2 linked regions of the Astyanax mexicanus genome follow. The protein of the gene in region 1 interacts with the protein of each later gene in a pairwise test. Links are inferred from orthologs where the notes say so. Each region holds a gene or a part of one and is shown on either strand. Other genes may lie near its edges.

Evidence for each region.
Region 2: the proteins of ptpn3 (region 1) and lmo1 interact in binary tests that used the Homo sapiens proteins (3 or more experiments, as listed by UniProt). The two-hybrid records come from large-scale screens. The link is inferred for Astyanax mexicanus from reciprocal best matches to the Homo sapiens genes PTPN3 and LMO1.

Annotation. Positions count from the first base shown.
Region 1 is NC_064408.1:109,499,339-109,516,409, reverse strand, and holds the start of ptpn3 (tyrosine-protein phosphatase non-receptor type 3), read right to left. Parts: upstream 9,227-17,071; 5' UTR 8,979-9,226; intron 1-8,978.
Region 2 is NC_064423.1:41,019,595-41,036,408, forward strand, and holds the start of lmo1 (rhombotin-1), read right to left. Parts: upstream 8,273-16,814; 5' UTR 6,702-8,272; coding exon 6,680-6,701; intron 1-6,679. UniProt on the Homo sapiens protein: May be involved in gene regulation within neural lineage cells potentially by direct DNA binding or by binding to other transcription factors.

The sequences.
Region 1 (17,071 bases):
AGCACAATCACACACAATAAATCACATTATAAGTTGCGTGAGCAGAACACAGCAACCACTACCATCTGATACTGGCTCGACAAGAATCCAGAAGCATAGCGAACTATGTTCATGGTCCGTGCCTCAACTGCCAAGTACTCAGACGTCTACAAAAACTCATGATACAAATTATTACAAGAGCAGGACCACACCAATCCCCTTCATCCAAACTCTAACACAAACTTCAGTGCAAGCTCTTCTCAGGGGTCATCAGGCAGGCACCTTCCTTCGTCAGTGTTTCGCTGAATTAGGCCCACGACACCTCCAGAAGGCTCAACAGTGAACAATATAGCCCAACAATTCAACTGTTTTTAAGTGAAATTACATGTGATGTGATATGACAATGTTCTTTCTGTTCAAAGGTTTCTGGATAATTGAATGGAATAAAAAATGTATTTTAACCTAATCTTGACAGCAAAATGATCAAATAAATATCAGGCATCAGACAGTTCTAGGATCATGTCCCATGACTTTTGTCATGTCTCATGGAAGCTAAAGAATTTTGGTGGAGTGAGTTGCAGAATGTGTGTGGGGTCCTCAGCACTACATGTGGATGCAATATACAGTCATATGAAAAAGTTTGGGCACCCCTATTAATCTTAATATTTTTAGTTCTAAATATTTGGGTGTTTGCAACAGCCATTTCAGTTTGATATATGTAATAACTGATGGACACAGTAATATTTCAGATTAAAATGAGGTTTAATGTACTAACAGAAAATGTGCAATATGCATTAAACCAAAATTTGACCGGTGCAAAAGTATGGGCAACCTTACTCCTAACTACTTTTTACTGACTTACTGAAGCACAAAATTGGTTTGGTAACCTCATTGGGCTTTGAACTTCATAGCCAGGTGTATCCAATCATGAGAAAATGTATTTAAGGTGGCCAATTGCAAATTGTTCTCCTATTTGAATCTCCTCTGAAGAGTGACATCGTGGGCTCATCAAAACAACTCTCAAATGATCTAAAAATAAAGATTGTTCTACATAGTTGTTCAGGGGAAGGATACAAAAAGTTGTCTCAGAGATTTAATGTCAGTTTCCACTGTGAGGAACATAGTAAGGAAATGGAAGACCACAGGGACAGTTCTTGTTAAGCCCAGAAGTGGCAGGCCAAGAAAGATATCAGAAAAGCAGAGAAGAAGAATGGTGAGAACAGTCAAGGACAATCCACAGACCACCTCCAAAGAGCTGCAGCATCATCTTGCTGCAGATGGTGTCACTGTGCATCGGTCAACAATACAGCACACTTAATATTGCCTTATGCTCCCCATCATGGACAGTTGTACACACAGATAGATAATTTATTGATCCCAAAGGGAAATGCATTTGTTGATCAGCAACATGCATTTGTTGATAAGCTAAGATATATAAGAATCAGCCTCTACAAGTGAAAAGATTAGGTGAACTGAGGTGGCAGGGTATTATAACAGGGTACATAATATGACTTTGGTTGTGTCACGAGTCATGCAGTTCCACCAAAGTTCCATAGTGCAGCAGCCTTGCTCCTGCATAGAGTGGCAGTAATAGAGATTCCAGTCAGTGGAGCATCAACATGACTCTGAAGCTGTTATTATAAGGCCAAAAAGATGTGTCCCTGGAAGTGAGTACCTATATTTTGTAAATAACGTGTAGGTGTGTTGACAGGAGTGTGTGGTAGGGGCCTACGGATTAGTGAAACAGACAGCCCAGGGCCCCACACTGCCTTACTGTGACCTGTCACTGTGTTAACATGTCCACAAAGCTGAGCTAGTATTTCCTCAGCTTTTCCTATTTACGAGAGATGACAAAATAGCCAAGCTGGCTACCCAAGATACCCTGGGAAACAAATATTTCCTTTTTCGCTGCCACTACAATGCAAAACTCCACTCATTCAATACAGATGAAAACCGTGCTCAACACCACGCATGTTTCTGGCATTAGTGGTTCACCAGGGAGTTATGAGGAAAACCTCAAGTTCACACCCATTAGGACAATGTGCATCTGTATTCCTTAGAACACAAACATACAGAACAATCACACAAGTTTAAAATGGATATAATGTGTTAACAAAATCATTCACAGTTGTTTTTTTTTCTTAATTTAAAGATGGATGCTCCCATTACTTGTTAGCTATATTAGCCTTGTGGCACACGGCAAATAGGCCTTGTGTGACTGGCCAAACTGAAAATTGTGTAAGTTTGTGTATTTATGTATTTATTTTTTAATGTATACAGTGAGTCAGTCTTCTCCTTAGTTCTTAATTATCTCTCCTACTACAACAGTACAAGACTGTCATATACTACAACCCCTGGCAAAAAGTATGGAATCACCAGTCTTGGATGAGCACTCCTTCAGACATTTCATTCTGTAAAACAAACTCTGATCAAAAACATGATACAATAATAAGGTCATTCCAAAGTGCAACTTGTTGGCTTTCAGGAACACTCAAAGAAATGAAGAAAAAACATTGTGGAAGTCAGTGAATGTTACTTTTATTGACCAACCACAGGGAAAAAAATATGGAATCACTCAATTCTGAGGAAAAAAGTATGGAATCACTCAAATTGAAGGTAGAAAATAAGGACACACCCAGTCAATTTCCTTTCCCTAAATGGACACCTGCCTCAGATTAGATCTGCTCGTTAGTCTGCAGTTTAAAACACCTGCAGTCATGACACCTTGGAGGGCTGCTGGACGAATTAGAGTGGCAAGAACCATGGCTCCAACAAGAGAAATGTCTCTTGAAACAAAAGAGAGGATTGTGAAACTTCTTGAAGAAGGTAACTCTTCACGCATGGTTGCTAAAGATGTGGGCTGTTCACAGTCAGCTGTATCCAAGATATGGACCAAATACAAACAGCATGGAATGGTTGTTAAAGCCAAGCGTACTGGTAGACCGAGAAAGACATCAAGGCGTCAAGACAAGCAACTTAAGGCCATTTGTCTTGAAAACCGAAAAAGTACAACTAAACAGATGAAGCATAAATGGGAAGAAGCTGGAGCCAATGTATGTGACCGAACCGTAAGAAATCGCCTAAAGGAAATGGGATTTCAATACAGGAAAGCTAAAAGAAAACCATCATTGACACCTAAACATAAAAGAACAAGACTGCAGTTGGCTAAGGAGAGGCAATCATGGACTGTGGATGACTGGATGAAAGTTATCTTCAGTGATGAGTCAAGAATCTGCATTGGACAAGGTGATGATGCTGGAACTTTTGTTTGGTGCCGTTCCAGTGAGATTTATGATGAGGCCTGTCTGAAGAAAACAACCAAATTTCCACAGTCCTTGATGATATGGGGCTGCATGTCAGGCAAAGGCACTGGGGAGATGACTGTGGTTAATTCTTCTATCAATGCACAAGTTTACATTGACATTTTGGACAGTTTTCTCATCCCTTCAATTGAACAGATGTTTGGAGATAATGAAATAATTTTCCAAGATGACAATGCATCGTGCCATAGGGCAAAAACAGTGAAGGCATTCCTTGGAGAAAGACACATTCAGTCAATGTCATGGCCTGCAAATAGTCCAGATCTCAACCCAATTGAAAACCTGTGGTGGAAATTGAAAAAAATGGTCCACAAGAAGGCTCCGACCTGCAAAGCTGATCTGGCAACTGCTATCAAAGAGAGTTGGCACCAAATTGATGCAGAATACTGTTTGTCACTCATCAAGTCCATGCCTCAGAGACTGAAAGCCGTTATAAAAGCCAAAGGTGGTGCAACTAAATACTAGTGATGTATTTTGAATCATCTTTTGTTTATCTGTTTTTCATGATTCCATACTTTTTTCCTCAGAATTGAGTGATTCCATATTTTTTTCCCTGTGGTTGGTCAATAAAAGTAACATTCACTGACTTCCACAATGTTTTTTCTTCATTTCTTTGAGTGTTCCTGAAAGCCAACAAGTTGCACTTTGGAATGACCTTATTATTGTATCATGTTTTTGATCAGAGTTTGTTTTACAGAATGAAATGTCTGAAGGAGTGCTCATCCAAGACTGGTGATTCCATACTTTTTGCCAGGGGTTGTATATGGACAAACGTTTTGGGACTCAGCATCTTTCATCTTTTCTTCCGAATCCAGGGTATTAAATTACTTTTGTTGGAGTAACTTTCTCTACTGTTCAGAAAATTTTTAACTAGATTTTGGAGCTTTGCTGTAAAAATTGAATAACATTCAGCAACACCAGTATGGGTGAGCTACAACCCACCTCATCCCCAGCTCATCCCAAAAATTACCATCACTCCAGAGAACACAGTTGCAGTGCATCACAGCTAAATACTGGGGGGCTTTATAACCCTCTAGCCAATAGGGGTGGGAATCGATTACTATCTCACGATTCGATTCGATTCCGATTTTGGGGGCCACGATTCGATTCAAAATCGATTTTTGATTCAAAACGATTTGAATTATAATAAATATTTCTGCTTCTGGCTTATGAATCGTATTGAAAAAAAACCCTCCATAATATACACTGGTCCTGGAGCAAGTAATGTGTTACAAAAACAATAAAATGTGCAGGAATGTGGGTCCTCAGTGACAGAGGAATCACTGGGATATCACAATGACGTTAATGAACAATAAATACATAAATAAATAACACTGCTTTATTACCAGGCTACTAGCGGTGGTGTGTAGGTGACGCTGCTGGGCTGATGTGATGATAGCAGTGGAGCGCTAAAGTTCAGGAGCAGCTGCTGATTAACTAGTTAATTTAAGGTGGTTGTATTTCTTCAGAAAGGGGGCAGGAGGTGGAGAAATTAATTCATATTGTCCATTCCTTAATTCCTCTGTGATGAGGAGCTGAAATTAGCTCTGATTAGCTTATTGTTATTTTTCCGTTCCGCCTTAAATGCTGCAGCCCGCTGCCACCTGTAGCGTTATTTAAGGTGGAACTGGAAAGTTAGCTAGTTAGCTAGCTAACAGTTACTGAAACTAACTACTAGCGATCTTTTTTATGCTTGTTATGAAGCATTCTGCCATAAAACATTGAAACTACACGTTAATCTAAGGTAATATAGTGCTTGTTCTGCCATCTTACCGGTGATTCTCAAACACCTACGCTCTGTGTGTGTCTGGAAGATCTCCAAAGGGACAAGCGCTATCCCCAGGGTTGCCAGGTCCAACAAAAATACCCAGCCCAAAATCAGTCTAAAACCCGCCCCTCAGAATCGATTTTGGGACATTTTAAATCGATTCTGAATCGTAGTAAATGAGAATCAAGATTCTTATGTGAATCGATTTTTTGGCACACCTCTACTAGCCAATGCCTGGTATTATACATGGTGCCAATAGTTTTATGTTTATCTGTAACAAACATTCCTGTGTATAACATTTGGGCATATAGTTTAAGTGTACGCTCATTAAATCCCTACTGAATAAGCAAGAAGTTTAACACTCACAGTAGTAAAAGGCAGGCTGTGCTAAGATTAGTCAAGATCATCCTTACACCTGGTTTTAAACCTTGAATGTGAAATAAATCACACATTACGGTACTCAACTGAAATCCTTCTGATTGTGTAATATAGCATACATATTTATGTACATAGTAAGCAAATGCCTAACTAGCTGTAAAACATTTTCACATTTCTAATTAGTCACAGAAACAAAACCCATGATCTTCTCAAAAGAGAAAATTCCAGCTAGACAAACATCAACTTTCTCAAAGGCTCAACATTCACTAGCAGAGGTAGTGTGTACCAGATGCCTGTTATATCTGCCCATCATAATTTAAATACAGTACTAGTCGAAAGTTTGGACACACATTCAATGTCATTAGCTAGACTGTACATTTTATATTGAAGACCTTTAAACTACATAGGAACACATTTAAAAGTGTTAAACAATCCAGAATATGTTTACCACATTCTGCTTTACTGGCAGATCTGCACACTCTTGGTATTTTAATCTCAGTGTCTTCACGAGGAAGAGTCATCTGGAATAGTTTTCTCAGTGTCTTGAAGGAGTTCCTGGAGGTGCTGAACAATAGGAGGCGAAGTCCAAACATTTTTTTGTTTGTTTACTACATAATTCCATATCTTTAATATCAATATACAGTGTATTTAACACATTAAATAAATAAATTGAGAAAAAAACACATTGAATGGGAAGGTGTGTGTGCCAATCGATTAAAATAAATAATAAGTTAACCACAATATAATTCAGTGATTAATCACAATTACAATCACATTTTCTTGCTTAAGACTAAGCTTTTGATAATGTGTATTGAATTGTGAATAAAATAAACAGCAGTAGAAACACTTAAAACATATGTATCATTGGTGTCAATCCCTTAAAAGATATTTGTATTTATCATATTGGTACTGAACAGTATTTTTGGGACGGGAACAAAAACAATGCTGTAGTGTGATATTCACCTGGCAGACTAGATCCTTTTTTACTGTATTATACATTCCATACTCAACAGCTTGAAAAGAGGAAACCTGTCATCAGCTGTGTGTGTTTGTGTGTGTGAGAGAGAAATACAGAGAGAGAGAGATGGAGAGAGAAAGAGAATAAACTTCGCCACAAATAAAATATAATCTACCTTATTAACTGAACAGTAAGTGTTGCTGTGTTATATCACTAAATAAAATGCGTCACCAGGCTCTGTCAATTTTGTCACATGACTCATTTAGTTCAAAATATTAACGCGTTAAAGTTTTTTAGATTAATTGCATGCATTAACATGTTAATGTTGACAGCTCTATTATTTTTATTAGATGCCGATCACTGCAAATTACTGCTCAACAAAATATGGCAATGTCAGTTTTTTTTCTCTATTTAAAATTATAACCAGAATACATATTTGAATTATAGCTATGGAGCCCCTAAGGTAAAATCATGTTAAAAAAATAATGCATGGCCATGACTTATTAAGGCGTGGGAATGAGATCCTAATGTGTAGCCACAACTTATTAAGGTGTGGCAATGAGTTAATTAAATCATAGCCATTAAGGCGGGGCCTCCTTTTGTTTTACAGCTAACAAAGCAAGCAGCTCTCAAGGGTTGTGCACAATATAACTGCTTAAGGAAGGTAAATTAATCTGCATACTGTCTACATCTAAGCCCGTCAGCTTTTTGTATGAGAATTAAAAAAGTCCTTTACTTAGAATTATGCCCTGTCTCACTGCAAGAGACTCATAGGCAATAAAGGAGAACTCTGGTGTAAAATTGACTTTGGTTGTAGTAAAACATGATAAAGATTACTAACCTTTACTGAATAGCCCACCACTGCTCTCCCGCAGCTTTCTGAGACCCAGAAATGGCAAAAAGCACTCTTTACAACGGGAGCTTTGGGGCATCCAGATAAAGCACTTTTACACTGTTATCCAGGCTCCACACTAGGGGTGTGCCATATCATATCGTACACGATAATATCGTCAAATCTTTTAAATATCGAGAACGATATTATACCCTACAATTTCGTGCCATATCACCCATCCCATTTCCCATTATATATCTACTAGAGACAGTTTATATCTGTCCAGTATCATTTATTTTACTTTAATCCTGGATATATGGAGATATTTGGAGTGCATTATTATTAGTATCATGACATTCTGGATCATTGACTTCTGCTACAAATCTGATAGAATTCTTGTATTTTTTAATATCTCACTTAGGGGTGTGCAGTATTATATTGTATGTAATAATAAAATATTTTTTTATTTTCTTGCAGTGTATAGTGTATTTTTAAAAATAATATTTTTAAGTGTTTTGTCATATCACCAAGAGTATCGTTATCGCGAAAATATCATGAAATATCGTGATATTATTTTAGGGCCATATCGCCCACCCCTACTCCACACCTCAATAGTAGAATCCACAGAGCTCTGACACTTAAAAGGAGGCATTTATAACTTTAAAAATTAACAAGAAGCTTATTAAAAACACTGTTTCCAACTCTTAGCACAGCCTAATCTCCGGGTGGTTTTAATAAGCTTCTTGTAAAGAGTGCTGGGCAAAAAGCACAAAATACTGGATCTTGGAAAGCTGGGAGAGGGGAGAGCAGATGTGGGCTATTAAACAATGGTCAGTACTCTATCATGTTTTACTACACCACAAGTAAATTTTACACCTTCTCCTTTAATTTACAGAAAAGCAAGCTTATTATTCTCTGGACACAACTTAATTAACTAGTTCCCACGCCTTAATAAGTCTCTTGCTTAATTATCTTATTCTTACGCATAAGGATATCGTTCCCATGCCTTAATAAGTCATGGCCACGCATTATTTTTTTAACATGATGTCAGCTTAGGGGCTCTGCAGTTAGCTAATGGAGTGAAAAGGGAAATATTTTGTGGCTTCCCACATACAGCGCAAGACTGCAAGCCAGAACTCTCATGGGAAAGAGAGAAATGAGGCAGCAGTAGGTTTCATTTTCAGTCTGATCAGACTGCTCAGGCTACTAAGGTTATACTTCCCACTTACGTTGCCTGATGGTTTCAAGTTTAGTAAAGTTAATTAGCTAGTCGATAAAAAGCTGACAAATCTTTCATATTTTTCACCTTTTCGCTGCTGCCTGTCACACGCTCCGGATCAGACAGCTGTTGCCGAGGAGGGCTGGGCTCTTCCCTGCTCTGCTAAGTTAATACACGGCTAGGATAACGATAATAACTTAGTTAGTAAGAGCTAACCTAAAGCTAGCTAACGTTAAACACTGATTTATTTACTCTCTGGTCCCTTTAAAGCGCTTTAAACCAGAACACGCTTAACGTTAACGGTTTAATTAGAGCTCGGTTGTAGTTAAAAAGTTAAAAGTTGTATAATTCAGTCTCTTAACTGGCTTAAATAAGCTAGAACTGGGCTGTTTAGTTCGGTTTAGTTCAGTTTGGACCGGTTGAAACAGTTAACGCTAGTTATCGCTAGGCTAGGTTAGCTAGGCTAGTTAGTTACCACTAGCAACGCTAGTTAACTAGCCCCCTCGCTGGGTTAACTAAGTTACCTGAGGCTGGGTTTCCCCCGTTCTGTCAGTCGGGCTGCTCCTCTCCTGCTGTTACTGAGGTGTTGAAAGCTGAAGCGTCTCCATGTCCGAGCTCCGCGGCCGCAGGTGTCGGTAAACTTCCGGGAAAATGTTGTCTTTATTTTCGGTCCTGCTCCTTCGGGCTCCTTCGGGAGTTCGGGAGTTCAGCTTCGTCGTGGCCGCGGACCAGGCGCGCTCCCGCTCAGCGCTCGCTTCATTGATATGTGAGGTGAGTCGCGCGCGCGTTTACAGCTGTGTACCTAACTAGTCTGAACCAGCAACGTGCACGCGCGTGATGGTGTGGTCTACCTATGTATATATTATATTATAGTTTTTGACCCACGGTCGGTCTGCTAACTCAGCTACTAGCTAACACTAGTGTTACTACACTGTAAGCCCAGATATGTTAAAAAAAAAAAAAAAAAAAAAAAAAAAAAACAATATTAACAATAGTAACGTAATGGGCAATAAACCATTAACTTAACATATATTAAAACATCAAATTATTACTACTGAAAGGAAAGATTATTTAACTTTTTATTTTTTGTTATACCAATAATTTGCCCAACAATTCCACATTTCCATTTTGTGTTCCAATAATTAGTTCTAAAAGTATTAAAATCAATAAAACCACAAGGGTGCCCAAATTTATGCATTTTGTTTAAATAATTATTATTGCACACTTTCTGTAAATCCTATAAACTTAATTTCACTACACAAATATCACTATGCTCATCTGCTATATTATATATTTATATAAAACTGCTGATCCAAACAACCAATGATTTATAAGGAAAATCATAAAAAAAATATCAGGGGTGCCCAAAGTTGTACACACCACTGTAAATCAGAAACAATGGCTATTTCCAGCTTTATATTCATTACACATTCGTATTTCTTTTCTTTTTCTTTTTTATTTTGCATACATAATACAAATATACAATTCACAACAGTTTTAAAGTTTTATTATTGGTTCTTTGTATTTTTACCGCAGAGTTCGAAAGAATGGAACTAGAAAACTTTATAACTAGAAAAGTGTGCAAGGAAAGTTCTAAGGTGTTGCCATCCGGAACAATAGTTCAGGGGTCAGGGGCGATTCTAGGATCAGAGTTTTAGGTAAAGCCAGCCTCCTTTTTACAACAACAAAAAAGCTATAGACTTTCTGTAAGATCCCAGTAGGAGTGAGACCGACCAGTGGCCCAACATCTAGCTTCTCTTACTCCAGTTTAAACAATGGCTGAATGACAGGCTGTAGCATTATTTTAATAAATGAAGGAAAAGCAGTAACTATTGTTTAGCATCTCCAGGAACTCCTTTAAGAAAAAAAAATATTTCAGGTGACTCTACCTCATGAAGACACTGAGATTAAAATACCAAGAGTATGCAGATCTGTTCTCAAAGCTAAATGTGCTATTTAGTAGAATCTAAAGTATAAAATATATTCTGTTTTTTGTTTCTGTATAGGTTTAATGCCTTCAGTAATAAATTTACAATGTACAAGATCATAAAAAAGACATTGAACGAGAAGAGGTGTCTCTAAACTTATGACTGCTACTGTTAATAATACCAACATACAGCTCTAGAAAAAAATAAGAGATCACTTAAACACTTTAATATTACCAAATTGAAAACCTCTGGAATTTAAATCAAGAAGAAGATGGATGCTCACAAGCCATCAAACCAAGCTGAACGGCTTGAATTTTTGCACCAGGAGTGGCATAAAGTTATCCAAAAGCAGTGTGTAAGACTGATGGAGGAGTAAATGCCAAAATGTATGAAACTGTGACTAAAAAGCAGGGTTATTCAACTTGTACTTGTTTTGTTTTTTGCATCTTTTTTTGTTATTTCAGCCATTTCTCATTTCTACTAATAAATCCTGTAAATGACAATATTTTTCTTTGGGATTTGGGAGCAATGTTGTCAGTATTTTATAGAATAAAACAACAGTGTTCATTTTACTCAAATATATACCTATCAGAGAAACTGATTTAGAAACTGATATGGTCTCTTATTTTTTTGTTAGAGCTTTATGTTAATCAGGTCACACTGGATGGTTAGGCCTTCTCAGTTTTTTTCTCGCTTTCTCGTTACAATAAACGGTGAGCCAGAGCGAGGAGTGTCCGTACACTGTGTCCGCGGGGACGCGCACAGGTGCGCGTGCCCGAGCACAGCAGTCAGGGCGCTGCCTCCCTTGAGTCAATAAAAATACACCCCCGCGTTCCTGGAGATAAGCACGACCAGCAGCAACAACAGCAGCAGCATGACCTGCGTTACTCAGCCCAGCGAAACGAGTCCTTCCTTTATGTTGAAACAGCTACCAGCAAGGAATGTGTTTTCCCAGCTTTACTGGCTTATTTGATGGCTTAGGAGACAGTCATCAGCACGAATGTTGAGGGCAAGTATTATAGATAGTTTCTATGTGTTATTTGTTTGTTTGTTTTAGCTAAAAATACGTTTTTGTGTTAAACATATAACATTGTGCAACTGACCAGTTTACGTTTATGTGGTGTTTAGACATGGCTTAATAGCGCCTCTGTAGGTCAGATGTGCTACTGCAGCACTACTAATGCTAAATCAGTGTTTCCTAAACTTTTACATGTCATGCCCCCTCTGGAGGAAGAACCTTATAAAAAAGCTCACACACTAATAATTCATTGGATCACCTTTATGTTTGTATTGTTTTGATAAGCTTCTGCAATGTCACAAGATTTATTTAATCCAGTGTTGCATCAATTTTAACCAAGATCTTGCAGCATTGATGATGGTAGAGTCTGACCGCTGCACAAAACCTTCTCCAGCACATCCCAAAGATTCTCAATGAGGTTAAGGTCTGGACTCTATGGTGAACAATTCATGTGTGAAAATGATGATCTCATGCTCCCTAAACCAATCTTCCACAATTCCGAGCCATGAATCCTGGCATTGTCATCTTGGAATATGTCCGTGTCATCAGGGAAGAAAAAAATACATTGATGGAATAACCTGGTCTATATTCAGTATATTCAGGTAGTCAGCTGACCTCATTCTTTCAGTAGATACTGTTGCTGAACCTAGACCTGACCAACTGCAGAATCAACCCCACATCATTTACTTCCAGGTAGTGATTTTTTTTATCTGCCCACAAAATGACAAGCAATGAAGTGTCAAGTAATGAAGTACAAATACTTTGTTACCTTACTTTTCAGACGGCTTTTTCACGTCTACTCCTTACATTTTAAAAAATAGCCTTGTTACTCCTATTTCATTTCAGCTTGTTTTCATTGAGATAAAACTTTCCATCTAGATAGAGTGTATCTGATTGTGGTTGGATGTAGAGAAGTATAAACATAACCATACTGACCCCCTATTGGTTTGTATACGATCCATCACACCTCCACATCATGTCAGTTCATATTTCAGCAAGAACGTAGCAAATGTATGTAGTCTAGTATGAAGATGATCTGTGGCGGAGACTCAGCTTCTTTAATATATTTGCATTGTATTAAAATATATTCATTTTCAATGAGTACATATGCAGCTGAACCAGGGAGACATCCCAAATTTAACAACATTAACATTTTAGTATAACATTATGGTCATTATGGCTTTTATAAAATGTGTTTTGGGGAGGGGGGGATAGTGCACTATAGGCTCCTGTGGCGCAACCTAAGCTTTTGTCCTTAATGGCTTTTTTTTGGCTTACATTACTTTTACTTTCGTACTTTAAGTAGTTTTAAAAGCAGTACTTTTACACTTTTGCTGGAATAAAATACAGAAGTATTTTTAAACCCTACTGTCTATACTTCTACGTGAGTAATGAAAGTAAATACTTTTGACACCTTTGCTTATCTCCTACAAAAAAATCGAGCTTCAAAACATTAATTCCAAATGACTAATTAATTAATGGTCACAATAATTTTATGTTGTCTCTATATGAATTTTTAACAGCAGTTTTAGCCAGCAGTTGAAAAATATATGCATTCATCATGTTCATTAATGTCATGACAATGTTGGACATTTAGTGATTTCTTTGTTCTGTTCTTTTTCTGGGACAGAATGATTCTACAACTTATAGCGGTAAAAAAACTAAGACATTGCATCAGGTTGTATAATGTATTAGACGTTGTGTCAGATGTATCAAGTGTGTTCCAAGTGGTTGCTAGGTGTTTAGTATGATCAGTATTTAAGTTTTTTTCTGGTTCTTTATAGTTTTAAAAAGCAGAGTTTGAAATAATATAACTACAAAACTATATAACTAGAAAAGTGCACAAGGAAACTTCTAAGTGTTACTGTGTGGTTGTTGTGGTAATAGGTTGGTTGATGTTGCTATTTGTAAATAAATTAAATTTCACTGCTAGTTGTACTGTGCAAGACTATGTAAAAAACGATGTCAAAGTGTACTTTCAGTTTGGATTTACATCACTGTGGACTAAGCGGCTGCTGTCCAAAATGGAAACCTCTGCTCCACAATCAACATCTTGAGACATGTTTAATATTCATGTGAGACAACATATGTCTTGTTTTGTTACTTGGAGTAAAGGTGAGGCATTTAAATGCAGGAGCACTGTTTCAGCTGTTAAGCATGGGGGTGGGTGCATCATGTTCTGGGGCTGCTTTTCTGCCAGTAAAACGGGTACATTGCAAAAACTGGATGGAATAATGATGTAGGTGGACTTCCTGCAAAAGAATTAGCCAGAAATTAAAAATGCGTACAAAATTGGATGTTCAGTACAGTGACCCCAAACACATATCAGAAGTGATTGTGGAATTGCTAAAGCAAATTCAGTTAAATTTAGCTAAATATGAGGCCAACGCTTAAAGGGTGGGTTTTTGCCTATAAAACAACTAATGTAATTGAATTTAGTTGTTTAATACCAATAATGAGTTGACTTTAGAAAATCCCACAAACATATGTATATAAGTCTTTTTTTAATGAATGTTGCTATGCAGTATTGCCAGAGCATGATAATTATACATAAACCCCCATCCACAACTGTATGTAGGCCAATGAGGCCAATGGGGCTGTGTAAGTGAGGAGCACTCAATATGGTTAATGGAAAAAAGGGAGGGGCCAAATGACTATGCTTGTATTTTATGTAACACTGATTGGCTGCACAGTCATCCAATGAAAAGACATAGTGTAATTTGATAGATTTTAATGCGAGTGGATGAGTATGTGTGAGTCAGTATAACCCGGTATCGTCTTTCTGATTTAGACACAAATCTGTGCTGACTGTACTTTAACCTCCAGTCAAATATAGACTCTTGTCACCTTGTATCTCACTCTCTCTCTGGCATGGGGACAGATTTGAGTAACAGGTTTCTTGGAAGGTGTAAATAGGGTGTCGTAAGGGTTATATGGGCCAAGTATCCATCATACTGCAGGTACGGTACATTCAAAAAAATGTGTGGTCATTGATTAGTGAACAACTTTTATTTATATTATGTCATATAATAGTGTTAAATGGTCTCGACCTTAAGACCAGTCTTATAACCATAAAAGGGTGGTCTCAGTCTCATCTCAACCTCTTTGGAATTGCTAATGTCTCGGTCTCGGGTGCTTAAAAATGTTTGTAATATCATTAAATAGGTGAATGTACTTTTACCACATGATCCATTGTACAACCCTGAATCAGAAAAGTTGTAACAGTTAGGAAAATGTAAATAAAATAAAAATGCATTAACTACATTTAAATATTTACTTAAAATTTAATTTATTTGCAGACAATATAACCGTGAGATATGTTATGTTTTTTTTTAAACTTCATTTTATTTATTAATAAATATCCATTCCTGCAATATGGGCAGTTTGCAACTACTGACATGACTATAAAGTGACTATAAAAAGTGACTATAAAAAGATTATTTTAGAGACACAGAGTTTCTCAAATCAAATATCGGCACCAAAAACTGTCTACTTTCTAAACTTACAGGAAATTACACAAAAAAATTGTGAAGACTTTGGATATCCCACCATCTACAGTACATTATATCATCAAAAGATAATCTGGGGAAATGTGCAAGGAACAAAGCTAACAGTCACTATTGGATGCTGGTGATCCTTGGCACTGCATTAAAACAGGCTGTACTGATTCTGATTCTGTAATGGAAATTACTGCATGGGCTCAGGAACACTTCCAGAAACCTTTGTAACTATTGGCACAACATTAGCAAAGTCACCGTTGTTTACTGTCTTGATTAGCAGGCGAAATTACCCAAGATACTACATGTTTTGTCTGGTGTACTTTCCAAGAAATAGGATACCATATGGTGAAATATGAACATATCTCAATGTGCTGAAATCCAGAAATGAAAGTTAAAGCTGTATCATGCAAAGATGAAACCATATCTCCATATGATCCTGTGCTCAGATTAATCAAATGCAGCACTGCAGCGCTTCTGGATAATGTTGACAAATGACTTCTTTGTATGATGCATCTTTAACTTGCATTATACAGCAAATGTTGTAGGATGAATTGTGTTCACACACAATAATTTCTGGATGTTTTTTTTTTTTTTTTTTACAAAATACTTGGTTTTGACATGAACTTGACTACTAACAGTCTTGGTTTTGACTCTTATGTAATGACAAATGCATAACAGTCACCCCCCTCCCTTGCACTTGTTGATTACAGGACGCATGTCAACAGCAGGATTTCCTTATTTAAAAGGATGAAAATTACTGTAAACTGCTGGTCCTACCTAAATTACTTTACCTAATGTTTGTCCCTATTTAGCACTGGTTGTCTGTTTTATGCAGGCTACAGGCATGTTTCAACACATTCCATATCTGCACTTATGTTTGCTTATATTTATATGTGTGTATTTGTGTATGTTTACCAATAAAACTTTATTGGTCATCAAGTTCTTCACAGAAACCATGTGTGTCTGAATGCATGTAACAGAAGGTGAGTCTGTGTGTTTATATATGTGTGTGTTTTTCTGCAAACACTTTTTAACGTGTGTAAAAATATGGGGTTGTTGTTTTTGCATTTGTTTCAATATTCCTAACATATTCTTTACTGGAGACAGGACTGTAGGCAGCCCAGTCCAGTACCCGGACCCTCTTCTCCAATAGTCATGCCTTTATAATATGTGCATCATGTGGTTTAGCATTGTCTTGTTGAAGCATGCAGAGATGTCCCTTAAAAGTCTAGGAGGCAGAATATGTTGCTCCAAGATCTTAATGTAAGTTTATGTACATCACGATGTGTATTACCACAACCCCATACTGTGACAGAACTAGAGCTTAGATTGGGCAAACCTGACATTTTTTTAGTAAGTAGAGCGTTAAAACTGAGCTATTTAAAAACATTTTCATGTTGTTTTAATAAGCAAAATCTGTTCAGAATTATGTTAATTAACATTAATTAACTACTTGAGCCCACCTGACCCGGCCCAAGGAAATTGGTGGGAAATCTTGGCCCGTGGCTCCTTTTCACGAGCAAGAAGTCATGGGATAGCAGTAAGTAACATGTTCATAAGGTGTTTCCTTGGGTACACCCACATCTGGTTGTAAGGTGATCTTGTGAGTAAGGTTAAGCACTGGTCAGCATCCTCATGGCTAGGCAACGTGACTTATTGGTGTCGAAGCGAGGTCTGATAGTAGTTGAAGCACGGTCCTCAATACACAGTGGCATATGTGTACCAGGAATATGTCATAGAAGGCATTACCACCCACAGTGCCGTCGGGGGAAACAACAAATCAACTATGGCAGAAATGACATCCACATTCGATGCAGGAGATCCCAGACGCATATTCTGTGATTTCCAGAGCAAAAAGTTAAAACACATCCTCATGTTGTTCTTGTACTATGTGATTTACATGTTATACTTTTTTTCATACCTTTAATAATGTTTTATTTCTATGTATTTTTTTTTCAACTTTAATTGTGAACAAACCTATCATGCCACTTTGTATTGTTGTGTAATCTTGTCGTGCCATTAAGGCAGTGTATCCCTTTAAGCCTACATGATATTGAAGCTTAGTTTAGTGGATTAAATGCTTTAAAGTCATTTGATGATTTATGTGAAAATTCTGACCACAGTGTCTGACCTTATCTCTTCGTGGTGGTGTTTTGGAATTGGCAAGAAGT
Region 2 (16,814 bases), on another chromosome or scaffold:
GGTTTTGTGTTGTTGTAGATACAGAGATTATTTCACGCTGACATTCTCTCTCTCTCTCTCTCTCTCTTTTTATCTGTAAGTCTCTCTCGCCTAACCACTTACCGCACACACACACACACACCACACACACACACACACTCTCTCTCAGACACAGCAGTATAGAGTTATTAAGGTGGATTATTGTGTTTGCGGTCTCTCTGGCTTTAAGCGAGTTGATATTATAGTGTCCAGGTAAGCCGAACACCAGCACCAGCCTCTGTGTATTACCAAGAGCTCGGCAATACCATACAAAATATCACGATACAGAGCTAACAAATCAATATATCACAATATTTTGTGATACTATAAGCAATTTACTACAGCTCTGGAAAATTTGAGACCAGTTTCTCTGATTTTGAGTCCAATTTTTTCTGATTTTGTAGTAGTAGTAGTAGTAGTAGTAGTAGCATTGTTATAGCGGTATATTGAAATATCATGGTATATTTATTACTGTTTTTTTGATTCCACAGGAAAAAAACACAGCAGTATTAAGATATTATTAATATTATTATTAGCATTAGTCATTGTAATATAGTGATATATTGACATATTGTAGTATATTTATTGCAATTTGTTAATTCTGCAGTGTAAAACACAGCAGTATGGAGTTATTATTAGTAGCATTATCGTTGTAATATAGCAGTATTTTGAAATATTGTGGTATATTTATTAATATTTGTTGATCCGGCAGAGCAAAAAACAGCAGTATAGAGTTATTATTATTATTAATATTATTAGCATTGTAATATAGTGGTATATTTACTACTATTTGTTAATTCCGCAGAGTAAAACACAGCAGTATAGAGTTATTATTATTATTAATATTGTTAATATTAGCATTGTAATATAGTGGTATATTGTAATATCGTGGTAAATTTACTACTAGTTGTTGATTCCGCAGAGTAAAACACAGCAGTGTAGAGTTATTATGGTTTTAACCACTTCTGACACCAATTTTTATGATACTGTGTCTTTTTTTTTAATGTATATAGTATATTGTGAAAATGACTTTAAATATTATTATTATTATTATTATAAGCATTAGCATTGTAATATAGCGGTATTTTGAAATATAGTGGTATATTTATTACTATTTGTTGATTCTGCAGAGTAAAACACAGCAGTGTAGAGTTATTATGGTTTTTAACCACTTCTGACACCAATTTTTACGTTACTGTGTCTTTTTTCCTGTATATAGTATATTGTGAAAATGACTTTAAATATTATTATTATTATTATTATTATTATTATTATTATTATTATTATTAATATTAGCATTGTAATATAGCGGTATATTGAAATATTGTGGTATATCTACTGCTATTTGTTAATTCCGCAGAGTGAAACACAGCAGTGCAGAGTTATTATTATTAATATTGTTAATATTAGCATTGTAATAAAGTGGTATATTGTAATAAAGTGGTATATTGTAATATTGTGGTATTTTTACTACTATTTGTTGATTTCGCAGAGTAAAACACAGCAGTATAGAGTTATTATTATTAGCATTAGCGTTGTAATATAGCAGTATTTTGAAATATTATGGTATATTTATTACTATTTGTTGATTCTGCAGAGTAAAACACAGCAGTGTAGAGTTATTATGGTTTTAACCACTTCTGACACCAATTTTTACGATACTGTGTCTTGTTTTATGTATATAGTATATTGTGAAAATGACTAAATATTATTATTATTATTATTATTATTATTATTATTAGCATTAGCATTAGCATTGTAATATAGCGGTATTTTGAAATATAGTGATATATTTATTACTGTTTGTTGTTCTGCAGGGTAAAACACATCAGTATGGAGATTATTATTAATGTTATTATAGTGTTTCCGGTCTCTCCGGTTTTAATGGAGTTGGTATTTCAGTATCCAGGTTAGGCCGAGCCGCAGGATCCCGCATCCTCCATCCTCTGAAAGCAGCTCGGCTCTCCTCGCCAGCCGGCTGCCAAAACGCGGGCGCAGCCGCTCGGCCCCAGCATGCAAAGGGTGAAGCTTTTAGGCAATGAGCAGCAGGTGATCTAAGCTTTTCTGCAAGTCCTAATGCTCCTAAAAGCCACTCTCCCAGCTCCTGTAATTGGGCATCAGTAGTTAATGTAGTATTGACTGCATTACATGCTCCTGTGCATCCTCTCCCCGCTAATGCCATTTGCATCACCTTGTACATTTCCCATATTGCTTAGCCAATAGCTGTTAAAAGCAATCCCAATCATGAATCATATAGCCAACTTTTAGCAAGACGGACGTCCAGAGGAGACAATTTACAGTTGAGTTAATCCGAGTACATTAGCACAACATGTATTCAGCCAGACAGACCAATTTATGCCTCTATGGCCATCCCTTTATTGGTTTTCAAATGGGTTAGTGAAAGGATGCTCGGCTCAAAGAGATATGAAATATCCATTTTCAAACATAAATAATGGCTCTGAAATGAAAGCCATTACTTGGAGGGAAAAGGGCCCCTAGCTACCATGTGGGCGATGACAATATTCCATGAAAGATGACAAGAATAGCCCATTTCGGGTCAGAGGGGCTTTTTAATAGCGAGTTCTGCGCTGTGGTAAGGAAGCCCCCCAACGTGGGACTGAGGTGGAGGTTCGTATGTTTGTACCGGAAGTTTTTAGATGGACCAGAAGACTCTTAAAGCACGATCCCATCCTTTTTATCACAATAATGCAGCAATAATGTGGTGCATTGACTATGTATTGGCGTACCTATACATATATATGTGGGTAGAGGTTCATATGTATGTAGTTTTAGTTTTTAAGTCTTGAGATTCTCTAAAAGCATGATCCCAAACTCTTTATTAGAGTAAAGTTGCAATGTGGTATACTGACCATGTATTTGAGTATTTATACATATATACAGTATGTGTAAGGTATATATATGTAAATATTTAAAGATAGATTGTAAGAATAGCCCATTTCGGGTCAGAGGGGCTTTTTAATAGCGAGTTCTGCGCTGTGGTAAGGAAGCCCCCCAACGTGGGACTGAGGTGGAGGTTCGTATGTTTGTACCGGAAGTTTTTGGACGGACCAAAAGACTCTAAAAGCACGATCCCAACCTTTTTATTACAATAATGCAGCAATAATGTGGTGCATTGACTATGTATTGGCGTACCTATACGGTAGAGGTTCGTATGTATGTAGTTTTAGTTTTTTAAGTCTTAAGATTCTCTAAAAGCATGGTCCCATTCTTTTTATTACAATAATGCAGAAATAATGTGGTGCCTTCACTATGTCTTGGCGTATTTATACATATATATGTGGGTAGAGGTTCATATGTATGTAGTTTTAGTTTTTAAGTCTTAAGATTCTCTAAAAGCATGATCCCAACCTTTTTATTACAATAATGCAGCAATAATGTGGTGCCTTCACTATGTATTGGCGTACCTATACATATACATATATATACATGTGGGTAGAGGTTCATATGTATGTAGTTTTAGTTTTTAAGTCTAAAGATTCCCAACCTCTTTATTGCAGTAAAGTTGCAAGGTGGTATATTGACTATGTATTTGAGTATTTATACAAATTTACAGTATGTGAAAGGAATATATATATATGTAAATATTTAAAGAAAGATTGTAAGAATAGCCCATTTCGGGTCAGAGGGGCTTTTTAATAGCGAGTTCTGCGCTGTGTTAAGGAGGTGGAGGTTCGTATGTTTGTACTGGATGTTTTTAGATGGAATAAAAAGACTCTAAAAGCACGATCCCATCCTTTTGATTACAAAAATGCAGCAATAATGTGGTGCATTGATTAGGTATTGGCGTACCTATATATACATATATATATATATATATATATATATATATATGTGTGTGGGTAGAGGTTCATATGTATGTAGTTTTAGTTTTTAAGTCTTAAGATTCTCTAAAAGCATGATCCCAACCTCCTAACTACAACACTGCTGAACAAAATAGTTACATAATCTTAATTTAGATTCAATCACAGCACAGATAATACAGCATTGTTTTAAGGTTGTTTTACATATTGTTTTCCAAAAATCACAAAATGCTGTAAAATCGTAGCCTCAACCTCCTCCAATAATACAGAAATAAGATGGTATATTGACTATGTATTGGGATATTTATATATGTATAACAGTGTGAAATATATATATATATATATATATATATATATATATATATATATATATGTATATATTTGAAGAAAGATGGTAAGAATAGCCCATTTCGGGGCAGAGTTCTGAGCTGCGTTAAGAAAAGCCCCAAGTCCAGTAGAAATGCAGAACTAAGACTATTTAGCAGCTCATCAGGTATCCAGAAAATACACAATAACACTGTTCAACATTTACAGTTACGTCCAAAAAGCGTAATTACAAGGTCTGCGTAAGGTGATCCTAAATATTTAATCTTGAAAAGACTCTAAAAGCGTGATTGCAAGCTCTTGCAATTAAAACTATTTGCTAGAACGTTGTCTTAAAGTAGTGCTGAATATTTTCTCGAAAGTTTAAAAAAAGTTTTAAAAGCATTGTCCCAAGCTCTTTACAGCTGTGGAAAAAAAATAAATCACTTAAAATTTATGAGTTTCTTTGATTTTACCAAATTGAAAATCTCTAGAATATAATCAAGAGGAAGATGGATGATCACAAACCATCAAACCACCAAACTGAACTGCTTGAATTTCTGCACCAGGAGTAAAGCAGCATAAAGTTATCCAAAAGCAGTGTGTAAGACTGGTGGAGGAGAACATGATGCCAAGATGCATGAAAAAAAACTGTGATTAAAAACATTTTTTGTTATTTCAGACATTTTTCATTTGTCTGCATATTAATGCTCTAAATGCTCTAAATAACAATATTTCTATTTGGAATTTGGGAGAAATGTTGTCTGTAGTTTATAGAATAAAACAACAATGTTCATTTTACTCAAACATAAACCTATAAATAGCAAAATCAGAGAAAGCGATTCAGAAACTGAAGTGCTCTCTTCATTTTTTCTTTTTCAGAGCTGTATATATATATTTAAAGAAAGATGACAGGAATAGAGCGGTTTGGGTCAGAGAGGCTTCATGTTAGCGAATTCCTGGCTCTGTAAGACGTCCTTAGACTTTGTTTTTGGGCTTGTAAAGTTTTTTTAATGTGGCAGATGTGTTGCTTGTGTTCTTAAACACTACATCTGTACTCTGTATTTGTGTAGTTGTGTTTCTTTTACAGCAGAAAGGCAGAATCAGGATCATTCAACAGCCACCCAGCAAACACGCAACACTGCCACAACACCGTCTACATCAAGACACAACACTAACAACTCTTAGTGAGATAATTTGGGTGGAAAAAATGCAAACAAAAAAAATAAACATAGAGTAACATTAGCGGCATTTAGCGAGTGATCTTTCCAACTTGAACACGACTTGAAGGCAGCATAACTGTACAGGTTTTGTAGTATTTAATAACTAGTAGTAACTAGGAAATTAGGAAATGACTTTAGAAGTTGTAACTTTAGTTACGCAAGCTTGGTGCAACCAAGCCCAGCTCTCAGGGAAAAAACTATAGTTTTTTCCCTGAGTACTATGTACTATGTAGAACCGTGTACTACGTACTTATGAGTCATAACACCACAGCAACCCCTTCAGCACTTCAGCTATTTAGCTATTTGTCCAATGCCGCGCACCGTAGTTACACTTTGGGTGCTGTGTTTCCACGGAGATTCACGTAAAAAAAACACAACAGCGAGTGGAAATGGAGGAGCTACTGAACACCGTGATGTCATGTGACCGAGAAAAAAGCCTAAAATCTCACTGGTCCTCCTGTTTTTTTCAATTGCAGTCCGGATGCAGGAGTTTTATCACTGAGTAGAAGTTAGAAATATATTTTTACAGACGTCCCCCCGAAAAAACTAATCCCGTCCAGATAGGGCTTTAGTAGAAACATTAAACAAAAACAACACTTGTACAGAAATCCTGTCTTAGCCTACGACTTGCAATCTACAAAGTACTTATGAGATATAAAGTTGTAGCCCATAAGTAACTCAAACTTCTGAGGCTTGCAAAACGGTGATGTCCCGAGGTGAAAGCATGGAAAACGGTACTCACGGTACTATTTCTAAGTACTGTCATGACTTATAAATATTATATTACCGTATTTACAATATTTTTTAATTATTGCACATGAACACTTTTCACGTTTCCGATTAAAACAACTCTTAAACAGAAAACATGGCATTATAAGTATGCAAACTTCTAAGGCTTGACTTGAAGCCAGTATAAGTCAAAGTCGAGCTTTTAATGCTGTTTTTAAAAGCTGTTTTGATGTTTTAATCGTAATAAAATAGATTAGACCAGATTCTGTTCTTTCTATTGGTTCTATCCAACAGCAGCGGGGTGAGGTAGGTTCTCCAGCATCTCCTCAAGCTTCAAAAAGTCCGACAAAAGTAGACTAAGCGCTCCGGCTCGAGGGGAAGACCGAGAAAAACGGCGATCTCCCGCGGTGAAAGCACGGAAACGGTACTATGTGTTACCATGTATTATACCGCGTATCAACCACTTAAGCATTTAAAGCACTTAAAGCACTTCAGTACCGGAGCACGCTCGCCCTACTTATGCTACTATGGTCCTACTATAGTGCTAGTATAGTCCCAGTGGTCCAGTAGAGTACCGGTACTCACCCTCCTCCTTGTCTAGCACCATCGTCCTGAGGAACGAGGGGTCCGGCTCCAGGCGCTCCGTTCTCGGCTCCAGCAGGCTGCGGGGCTCCGGCGGCGCGCGGGACTGAATGATGCGTTAACGGGGGGCGTCAAAAAACGCAGGCTCGGAGTGGCGGTGCCTTATTTACAGTGGCGGACACCCATGTGTGGAGGCTCGCGCGGTGGACACGCGACCGACCGACCGCCAAACACGAGCGCCTTGCCCGTTACTCCGTCCGTCCGTTCGCTTGCTCGCTCGTTCGTTTTTTCGTTCGTCCGTCCGTACGCTTGCACTATACGTGTACTACGCACGCTCGCGCTCGGTGTGCGTTCCCTCCGTGCGTTCTCTCCGTGTTCTCGGTGCTCTCTCTCCCCGGTTCGGTTCGGCTTTGCTCGGCTCGGTTCGGCTCTTCTCGGCGGCGGATCGCTCCGTATTATTATCCTCCTCCTCTGGAGCGCGCGCGAGTTACGCTACGTGTTTTACGGGTCGCCGTCAACGTTGTTTCGTTACGCTGTTTGTCGCCACAATGTATCACGCGCGTCCGCACGCTCACATCCGCGCGCGCTCTCTCTATAGGCTCCACCAACTGCGAGAGAGTGGTGAGCGCGAGCGCGAGTAATGAATAAATAGAATGAGATAAGTAACGTTAAGGGGAAGAGGAGGAGGAGGAGGAGGAGGAGGAGGAGGGCGCGTGCGCACAGTGTAGCCAGCGCAGAGAACAGCGTAACAGCGTAGCGTAACGGAGAAATAGATAGGGAAATAAAAGAGAAAATAAAGAAGAAGAAGAAGAAGAAGAAGAAGAAGAAAAATAAATAAATCCTCTTTGGGGAAATAAGTCGTAAAAGAAGAAAAGAGAGGAAAAAAGAATCAGTAGAAAAACAACGCGAATGAAAACACGAGGACACAGTCGTTAAAGAAGAGAGGAGAGGAGGAGAGAATAGCGTAAAAAACGCAAAACAAAACAAACGCGAAAAAAATATATAACAAAAAAAACGGGAAGAAATCGCGAAAAATGAAAGAAAAGTGCTTAAAAAGAGGACAAAAAATATATGTATTTAAAAAGGAATCAGCCTTGCGAAGAAAATGCAACAAAAAATAAACAACGCAAAAACAAACCCGAATAAAGAAGAATAAAGAAGAAAATATGCGCTTTAAAAACAAAATAAAGAATAACGAATAGAGAATAAGCCTGTATATAACGTAATTACGCTATTCTTTTGTAGTTGTTTTTTTTTTTTTTTTTTTTTGTTTTTGTTGTTGTTGTTTTTAAACAAACCCGTACTTCTACACGCGGCTCCGAGCAGTTCCCGAGCGTTTCCGCAGCTCGCGCGACTACGCGATTATTATTATATTATTATACTACGTCTTAGCTAAGAAATCTGAATAATACGAATATGAATACGAATAAGAAGCATCATCATCATTATCAGCAGCAGAAGAAGAACAAGAAGAAGCAAAAGCAGCAGAAATCCAGAGCAGTGTTGAAGCGGACGGCGGTTCGCTAAACGCACGCGTGCTCGCGCCCCCAATTTATGCGCTCGGGCTCGCTGAATAAACGCGCGCGCTCGCTCGCTCTCGTTCTCTCTCTTCCCAGAGACCCGCGGATTCCCCTGTTAATTAAATCAATTCATTATGCTCAGATCTGATTAGCGCCCCCCTCCATCCCCCTCCCTCTTTGAATCAATTATTCAATACACAAACATAATTGCTTGTGCCAGAGGTGTCTAAGTATTAGCTTATTTAACTCCAAGGACACTAATTACCCCTAGGGCAAGGGAACTTTTCTCATTAATTCTGACAAAACACAAAAGCACAGCTAAGGGAAAGTGTGTGTGTGCGTGCGCGCGAGTGCGTGTGTGTGTGTGTGTGCTCGCGCGCCTGAGCGTGCGCCTGAGTAAGTGAGTGAGTAGTCTACGCTGAGTGTTTATGTGGGGGGTGCACAACATCATGGTGAGGGGAGGGGCTGGGAGTGAGTGAGTGAATGAGCATAGAGAGAAAGAGAGAGAGATAAATAGTGAGACCTAAGATTCCTTCACTAAACAAGCAAACAGAGCAAAAAGACAAAAAATGATTAAAAAAAAATAATATACAGTACTGTGCAAAAGCTTTAGGCACCAAAGCAAATGACACTAATTCATTTATCTCAGCAATACGAGTGTTTTTACCTGAAAAAAGCACCACATATGATTTAAAACAGATGCAAATAAACATAAATACAGTAAAACTTATTAAGGAATTCTCATTTTTAACTAAGTTGTAAGTATGTTATATCCTGTGAGCCGAGCTGAAGAACAAAGTGTAGAGATCCAGATTTCTCCTGGATGCTCCTCAGCCAGCATGTGTATATTATGTTCAGTTCCGTCAGCAGCTCACCTGATTTACCACATTTACCAGTAATTTACCACGTTGTTGATTAATATGATGAGAACTAGAAATAACTCTATTAAACTCAGATGAGGAGGAGAGATTAGGAGATGTTTTGTTGTTTTAAGGAAAACTTTTGCTTTTTGTAAAATTGCTGTTTGTATTTATTGTAATGCTGGTGTTTTACCGAGTTAATGAAGAAATGATTGGTTCAGCAAAGATAAATTAATAAAGTTTACTAAAATAAATGATTTATTCAGCAAAGATAAATTAAGTAAAGTTTACTAAAAGAAAGGATTGACTTGAAGTTCAGTTCACTTATTTACTCTGTGTAACATTTAAGTCTTAAAACCGAGTTGAAGCTACTTAAATTTATCTGAAATTAAATTTACTTAAAAAAAGCAAATGAAGAAAGTTGTGAAACTTTTTTTAAGTAAATTTTACTCATAATTTTTTTTCAGTGTAAGCTAATGCTAAGCTAATGCTAAGGTAAAGCAAGCTACTCCAACCTAACCACAGGTGCAGCTAGCCTGCTAGCTAGCTAAGCTAACCAACACCACCCAGCAAACAAATAGAAACCCTGGTGAAAAAATATATACTTAATTGTCCTTAGAACATATTGAGAAATGTCTAACGTATAATATAAATATACTAACAGATTTATGTACTTACTTAAAATATATGAAAAGTGCATATATATACAAAAGTACATAAGTACAATATAATGTATTTTAAATAAATAGAATACTATGAAGTAGACTTTTAGTTTAATGTAATACATATATATATATATATATATATATATATATATATATATATATATATAGATAGATAGATAGATAGATATATTCACTCTGATGAACAGTCATTGGTCGAGACAGACAGGTCCAGCAGATGGGCGGTGTTTTGATTAGCGGGGAGATAGCATGCTCCGCTAATATGATTGTTAGCTGCTTTGTCTGTGATGAAAGTGTTGCTGTTTAAGCGGCGGTGCTTTTTCCCTGCCCCGAGGAGACTTTTAACCAATTACAGAGGAGATCCGACCAAGATTAACTAATAGAGGAGATGCAGAAGGTTTCCCAAGTGCTCTGTTTGTCAGCAGGAGAAGATCTGCTGTACAATCTGTTATTTACAGCGCTGTGGAGGATCTGACCAGCATTCTGCCTGTAGTATTAATACTAATTACAAAATACTAGTGCATCTCAAAAAATGAGAGTATTATTGAAAAGTTACTACATTTCAGTAATTCAGTTTAAAACGTGAAACTCATATATTATATAGATGTATTAAACACAGAGTGATCTATTTTAAGCCTTTACTTATTTTATTGTTGATGATTATGAATTACAGCCAATGAAAACCTAAAAATCAGTGTCTCAGAAAATTAGAATATTATATAAGATTAATTGGTATGTATGTAAATCTGCATCTCCATAAACCATCACTGACTGGTGGAAATTTCCCACTAGACCTCAAGCAGCTTGGACTGTGTGTCATATAGTGTGTATAATGTATATAGTAAGTGTGCAGCAGGATGTGTATAAACTATATACTGTAGAGTATATAGTGTTTATAGTATTTATAGCATATAGTGTTTATAGTACTTATTGTATATAGTGTAGAGCATATAGTGTTTATAGTACTTATTGTATATAGTGTAGAGCATATAGTGTTTATAGTACTTATTGTATATAGTGTAGAGCATATAGTGTTTATAGTACTTATTGTATATAGTGTAGAGCATATAGTGTTTATAGTACTTATTGTATATAGTGTAGAGCATATAGTGTTTAGTACTTATTGTATATAGTGTAGAGTATATAGTGTAGATTATATTGTGTATAGTGTATATAATGTATAGTGTAGATTATATATTATAGAGTATATAGTGCATATATTGTATATAGTGTATATATATAGTAAATGTGCAGCAGGATGTGTATATAGTATATGGTGTATGTAGTATATGGTGTATGTAGTATATAGTGTATGTAGTATATAGTGTATGTAGCATATAGTGTATATAGTATATAGTGTATGTAGTATATAGTGTATATAGTATATAGTGTATATAGTATATAGTGTATGTAGTATATAGTGTATGTGTAGTAAATATGCTGCAGGATGTGTATATAATATATAGTGTAGAGTATATGGTGTATGTAGTATATAGTGTATGTAGCATATAGTGTATGTAGCATATAGTGTATGTAGCATATAGTGTATGTAGCATATAGTGTATATAGTATATAGTGTATGTAGTATATAGTGTATATAGTATATAGTGTATGTAGTATATAGTGTATATAGTATATAGTGTATATAGTGTATGTAGTATATAGTGTATGTAGTATATAGTGTATATAGTGTATGTAGCATATAGTGTATGTAGTATATAGTGTATATAGTATATAGTGTATGTAGTATATAGTGTATGTAGTATATAGTGTATGTAGCATATAGTGTATATAGTATATAGTGTATATAGTGTATGTAGTATATAGTGTATATAGTGTATGTAGTATATAGTGTATGTAGTATATAGTGTATATAGTGTATGTAGTATATAGTGTATGTAGTATATAGTGTATGTAGCATATAGTGTATATAGTATATAGTGTATATAGTGTATGTAGTATATAGTGTATATAGTGTATGTAGTATATAGTGTATGTAGTATATAGTGTATATAGTGTATGTAGTATATAGTGTATATAGTGTATGTAGTATATAGTGTATATAGTGTATGTAGTATATAGTGTATGTAGTATATAGTGTATGTAGTATATAGTGTATGTAGCATATAGTGTATGTAGCATATAGTGTATATAGTATATAGTGTATATAGTATATAGTGTATGTTGTATATATTGTATATAAATATATATATATATATATATATATATATATATATATATATTAAATGTGAGGATGTTGAGAGCTCACAGGGATACAGGGCTGGACTGTAATCAATTGTTTGATGTTTCTCTCTGACAAGTCTGACTTTTCATTTCTGGAGTCTGAAAGATTGAACGCTTTTTGAGTGGAATGTATGTTTGCTGACCTCTAGCTGAAGTGAATGACACACAATTAATCCAATCACAGCGCAGCGGACAGACCGTGGCTCTGTGCCATCAGAAGCTGAATGCTGTGAAAGCTCTCAAAGATCTGAATGCAAATATAAAATATAAAAATATAAAGTTATTATAAAAAATAAACGTAGATAAGCTAATCATTATTGAAAACTATATTGTCAAATAAATAATCGCAATAATTAATATTTTTGTCATTTTAAGACACTCTGCATTTTATGTCAATAATATAATTAACTATGTTTTATTGGCCAAATATATATTTATTTATTGATATAATAGCGCAGTAACGCAATTACTATTCATATCAGGATAATATCTATATATTGTCCAAAAAACTGATATTATTGTAATTTTAGGACAATACATGTTTTCCACTGACATACTGATAATATAATAGCACACTGATGCAATTACACCCTTTTAAAAACACTTTTTATATGTTTTTGGATTTCCACTTAGGTCTCTACTGCCCCTATAAACATAATAAACTCTCCAAACACCAAAAAACTCATTCTGCTGTTTTCTGTGAATATAATGAAAGGGTAGTTGGAATGAAATTATTCTTCATTGCAGACAGTACACAGCAGGATTAGCCAGTAGACTTCGTCTGAGTGAGGAATCTGTACCTACTGTCTGTTGCGAGTCATCAGACGAGGGAGATGTAAGAGCTTTCTAATAGTTCTGAGTTCAAATTTTTGTGCTTCTATCACAGTTAAGCATGTGCTAGCTTGTTTGTGTTTTACTATTTAGCTACACAAGCTAACGCTAACATGTGGTAAAGGCACAGCATAAATGACACTAATGCCATTATTTATAAGAATATTTTACCACTGGTTTCAATTTAAAACAACAAAATCTAAGAGATTGGTGCTTTGAAGGTTTGAATAAAATTTAATTGAAAAAAAGAAAGGGGTAATTTTGGAGGGGCGCTGAGTGATGTATGGGTTTAGGGGCAGGGCAGAAGGGAGAGCAGATTGGGCTGAGCAATGTGCTTTTGATAGCGTTTTGATAGTGCAGTATTAGTGCTTGTTTGATTTGCATATTGTGAGTATCCTTGTACCAAAGTGACCACAATAAAAACATTTTTTGAAAGGTTAAGAAATGTCCTATTAAATAAAATACCACCATATCAAATTAAAATTAAAGCACTGTTTCTAAGCTAAATTGACACAGACATTGGGTATACTTTAATAGGCAGTACTTGTTAAATGCAATGAAGCAACATGATAAATTGATATATTACATTTAATAAGGAAAGACTGGCCAGGTCAATGTCCACATCCATCTCCAGGACTGACCACTGCTGGCCATCTAATTCACCAGGTAGCCACTGTCATTCCTGAGTGACAGGTGAGCTATAAGCCTGAACCGGTGTTCATCATTGGTCCTCAGCATCAAGGTCATGTCATCTGGAGCTCCATAGCACTGACCCCCTACCCGTCCGGATCTTACTGGGAATATAAATTACTCTCAGCCCGGTGCTGTGATACGGATCATGCCTTTTTCCTATGGTCAACCAACAATGGAACTCTCTATTGTTTCTGCATTATGAGAACGGGCCTAGATTACACCCCTGCTGTACCTCATACCAATCCCAGAACAGGCCAAGATCACACCCCTTCTGTACGCCAAACCAATCCCAAAACAGACCAAGGTCACACTCCTACTGTACCCCAAACCAATCCCAAAAACGAGACAAGATCACACCCCTACTGTACCACAAACCAATCCCAGAACAAGCCAAAATCACACCCCTACTGTACCCCAAAAAATTCAAGAATGAGCCAAGATCACACCCCTACTGCACCCCAAACCAATCACAGAACAAGAACAGGCCAAGATCACACCCCTGCTGTACCCCAAACCAACCCCAGAACAGGCCAAGATCACACCCCTGCTGTACCCCAAACCAATCCCAGAACAGGCCAAGATCAAACCCCTACTGTACCCCAAACCAATCCCAAAAACGAGACAAGATCACACCCCTACTGTACCACAAACCAATCCCAAAAACGAGACAAGATCACACCCCTACTGTACCCCAAATCAATCCCATCCGATGCGATGGTGACCTGGAGACAGTAGAACAGGCCGTACGCCTGGAAGTTAATTAATATTCATTTCTGATAGCCCCATCTATTTACCGCCGCGGCTCAAACGCAGCCGGCACAAAACCGCGGTGCAGTAATTAACCCCACCTAATCAGATGGAGCGACGGTGTTGTGTTCTCATTCATCCTCCGGCAAACGATCAGCGGATGGAGGACTCGGCGAGAGGATGAACCCCAGCCCCTCCTATATTTCATAATGCTTAAGCTGATTATAAACCAATGTCAAACATGCTCTTTTTCTGACTGCGTTCAACTGAAAGTGCTCCTTTATGTACGGGGAGGTGGAGGCGGCGGAGGGGGTGATCCGGGTGGAGGTGGAGCGGAGGGAGGGAGCAGTACTGTTTAAGGGCCTCATAATCTGTTTTGATGATATCTGGCTAAATTAGATAAATGATAAATGATGGGTTTTATCAAACATCAAAAAAAAACTTTAAAAGTCCTCATTGTTGAAATTGTATTTGGTGTAGTATAAATTAGTAGTAATCCACGTCTGATATTCACCATCAGTGTGTAGTCGATCCCCTGTAATTTCTGTGGGTAAGGTACACTTGTAGATTATATATTATGATTAAGGTGGTACTATTTAAAGGGTGTCATTATCTGTTTTGAAAACATATGGCTAAATGAGATAAATAGAACATTTTGGATCATTATTTGGTATAGTTAAATTTCATAAATTTAATTTCATATATATTTTTTATTTAATTGTTTTATTTATTTTTATTTATATTAAATTATAGTAAGTCAATATAGAGTTCAAGCTTCCATTTCTGATATTTACCGTCAGTGTGTAGTTGATCCCCCGTGATTACATTAGGTGAATTTGTAGATTATACATTATGATTAAGTTTGTACCATTTGAAGGGCCTCATAATCTGTTTTGATGATATCTGGCTAAATTAGGTAAATGATAGATGATGTTTTTATCAAACATCAATACATCAAAATGCTTTAAAAGTCTAATTCTTGAATCTTTATTTCAGCATTTCATTATTCGGTACAGTAGAAATCAGTAGTGTTCAGTTTTTGATATTCACCGTTACCTATACTATGATATAAAGGAGAGCTCTGGTGTAAAATTGATTTTGTTGTATTAAAACATGATAAAAAGTTCTTACCTTTGTTGAAAGCACACCTCCGCTCTCCTGCAGCTTCCTGAGATCAAGTAATTTTGTGCTTTTTTGCCCAACATTCTGCACAACGGCCGTATCGGGCATGCAACTATTTATTTGCCCCTGCAGATAAATCGTTTTTTCCACCGTTATCCAGCTCAAAGTAGCTCAACACCTTCTTGCTAGAATCTGGAGAGCCCTGACATTTAAAACGAGTCATTAATAACTTTAATAGTGCAGCAGCTTTTAAAAAAAACACTGTTTACATCCCATAATGCTTATTTCAGCTCCGAGCGCCGCCATCACTGTACTGATAATGACATAGACATATATATATATACATAGACTCTACATAGGCTGCCACGTTATGTGGCAGTCTATGTATATATATATGTCTGTGTCATTAGCAGTACAGTGATGGCGGCTCCTGGAGCTGAAATAAGCATTATGGGATGTAAACAGTGTTTTTTAATAAGCTTCTTGTGCACTTTTTAATCTGTTTTGATCATATCTGGCTAAATAAAATAAATAAATGTTTTATCAAATGTCAATAAAATGCTTTAAAAGTCTTCATTTTTTAAGCATTAATTGAGCATTTCAATATTTGGTACAGAAGAAAACAGAAGTACTTCCATTTCTGATTTAATAACCTTCAGTGTGTAGTCGATCCCCCAGGATTACTTTAGGTACACTTGTAGATTGTATATCAAAGATATATGGCTAAAGAAGATAAATAATGATTTCATCAAACATCCATTAAAAGTCATCGTGCTTGGAGCAATTTTTGGAGCATTATTAGGTACATTAAAAATCAATAGTATTTCCGTGTGTTTTTATTTATTTAATTTCCAGTTGATGCAGAACATTAACACTTTTTATTTTATTTGTATTATTTTTATTTATTTATTATATTATAATAGGACAAGATTAAGAACACTACGTCAAAATAGAGTCCAACCTTCTGTTTCTGATATTCACCGTCAGTGTGTAGTCGATCCCTCGTGATTACCTCAGGTACACTTATAGATGATATATTATGATTAAGGGGGGGGGGGCACAATTTGAATGGTCCCATAATTAGTTTTGATTCTATCTGGGTAAATGAAATAAATTATGGTTTCATCAAACATCAATAAAAAGCTTAAAAGTCCTCAGGATTTTGGAGCATTATTTGGTATGGTAGAAATCAGTAATTTTTTAAATGTAATTTCATTTATTTTATTTCTGTCTCATGGAGAATCTTAAATATATATTTTTAAGTAGATTTTTTTTATGTATATGTATATGTATAGTAAGGCAAGCTCAAGCACTTATTCTTACAGCATTATTTGATATAGTACTATTCTGTAGTATTTTCTTGGACTTGTATGTTTTTATTTAATATATGATATATGATATATATGATATATTATATTAAGACAAGCTCAAGAACTTT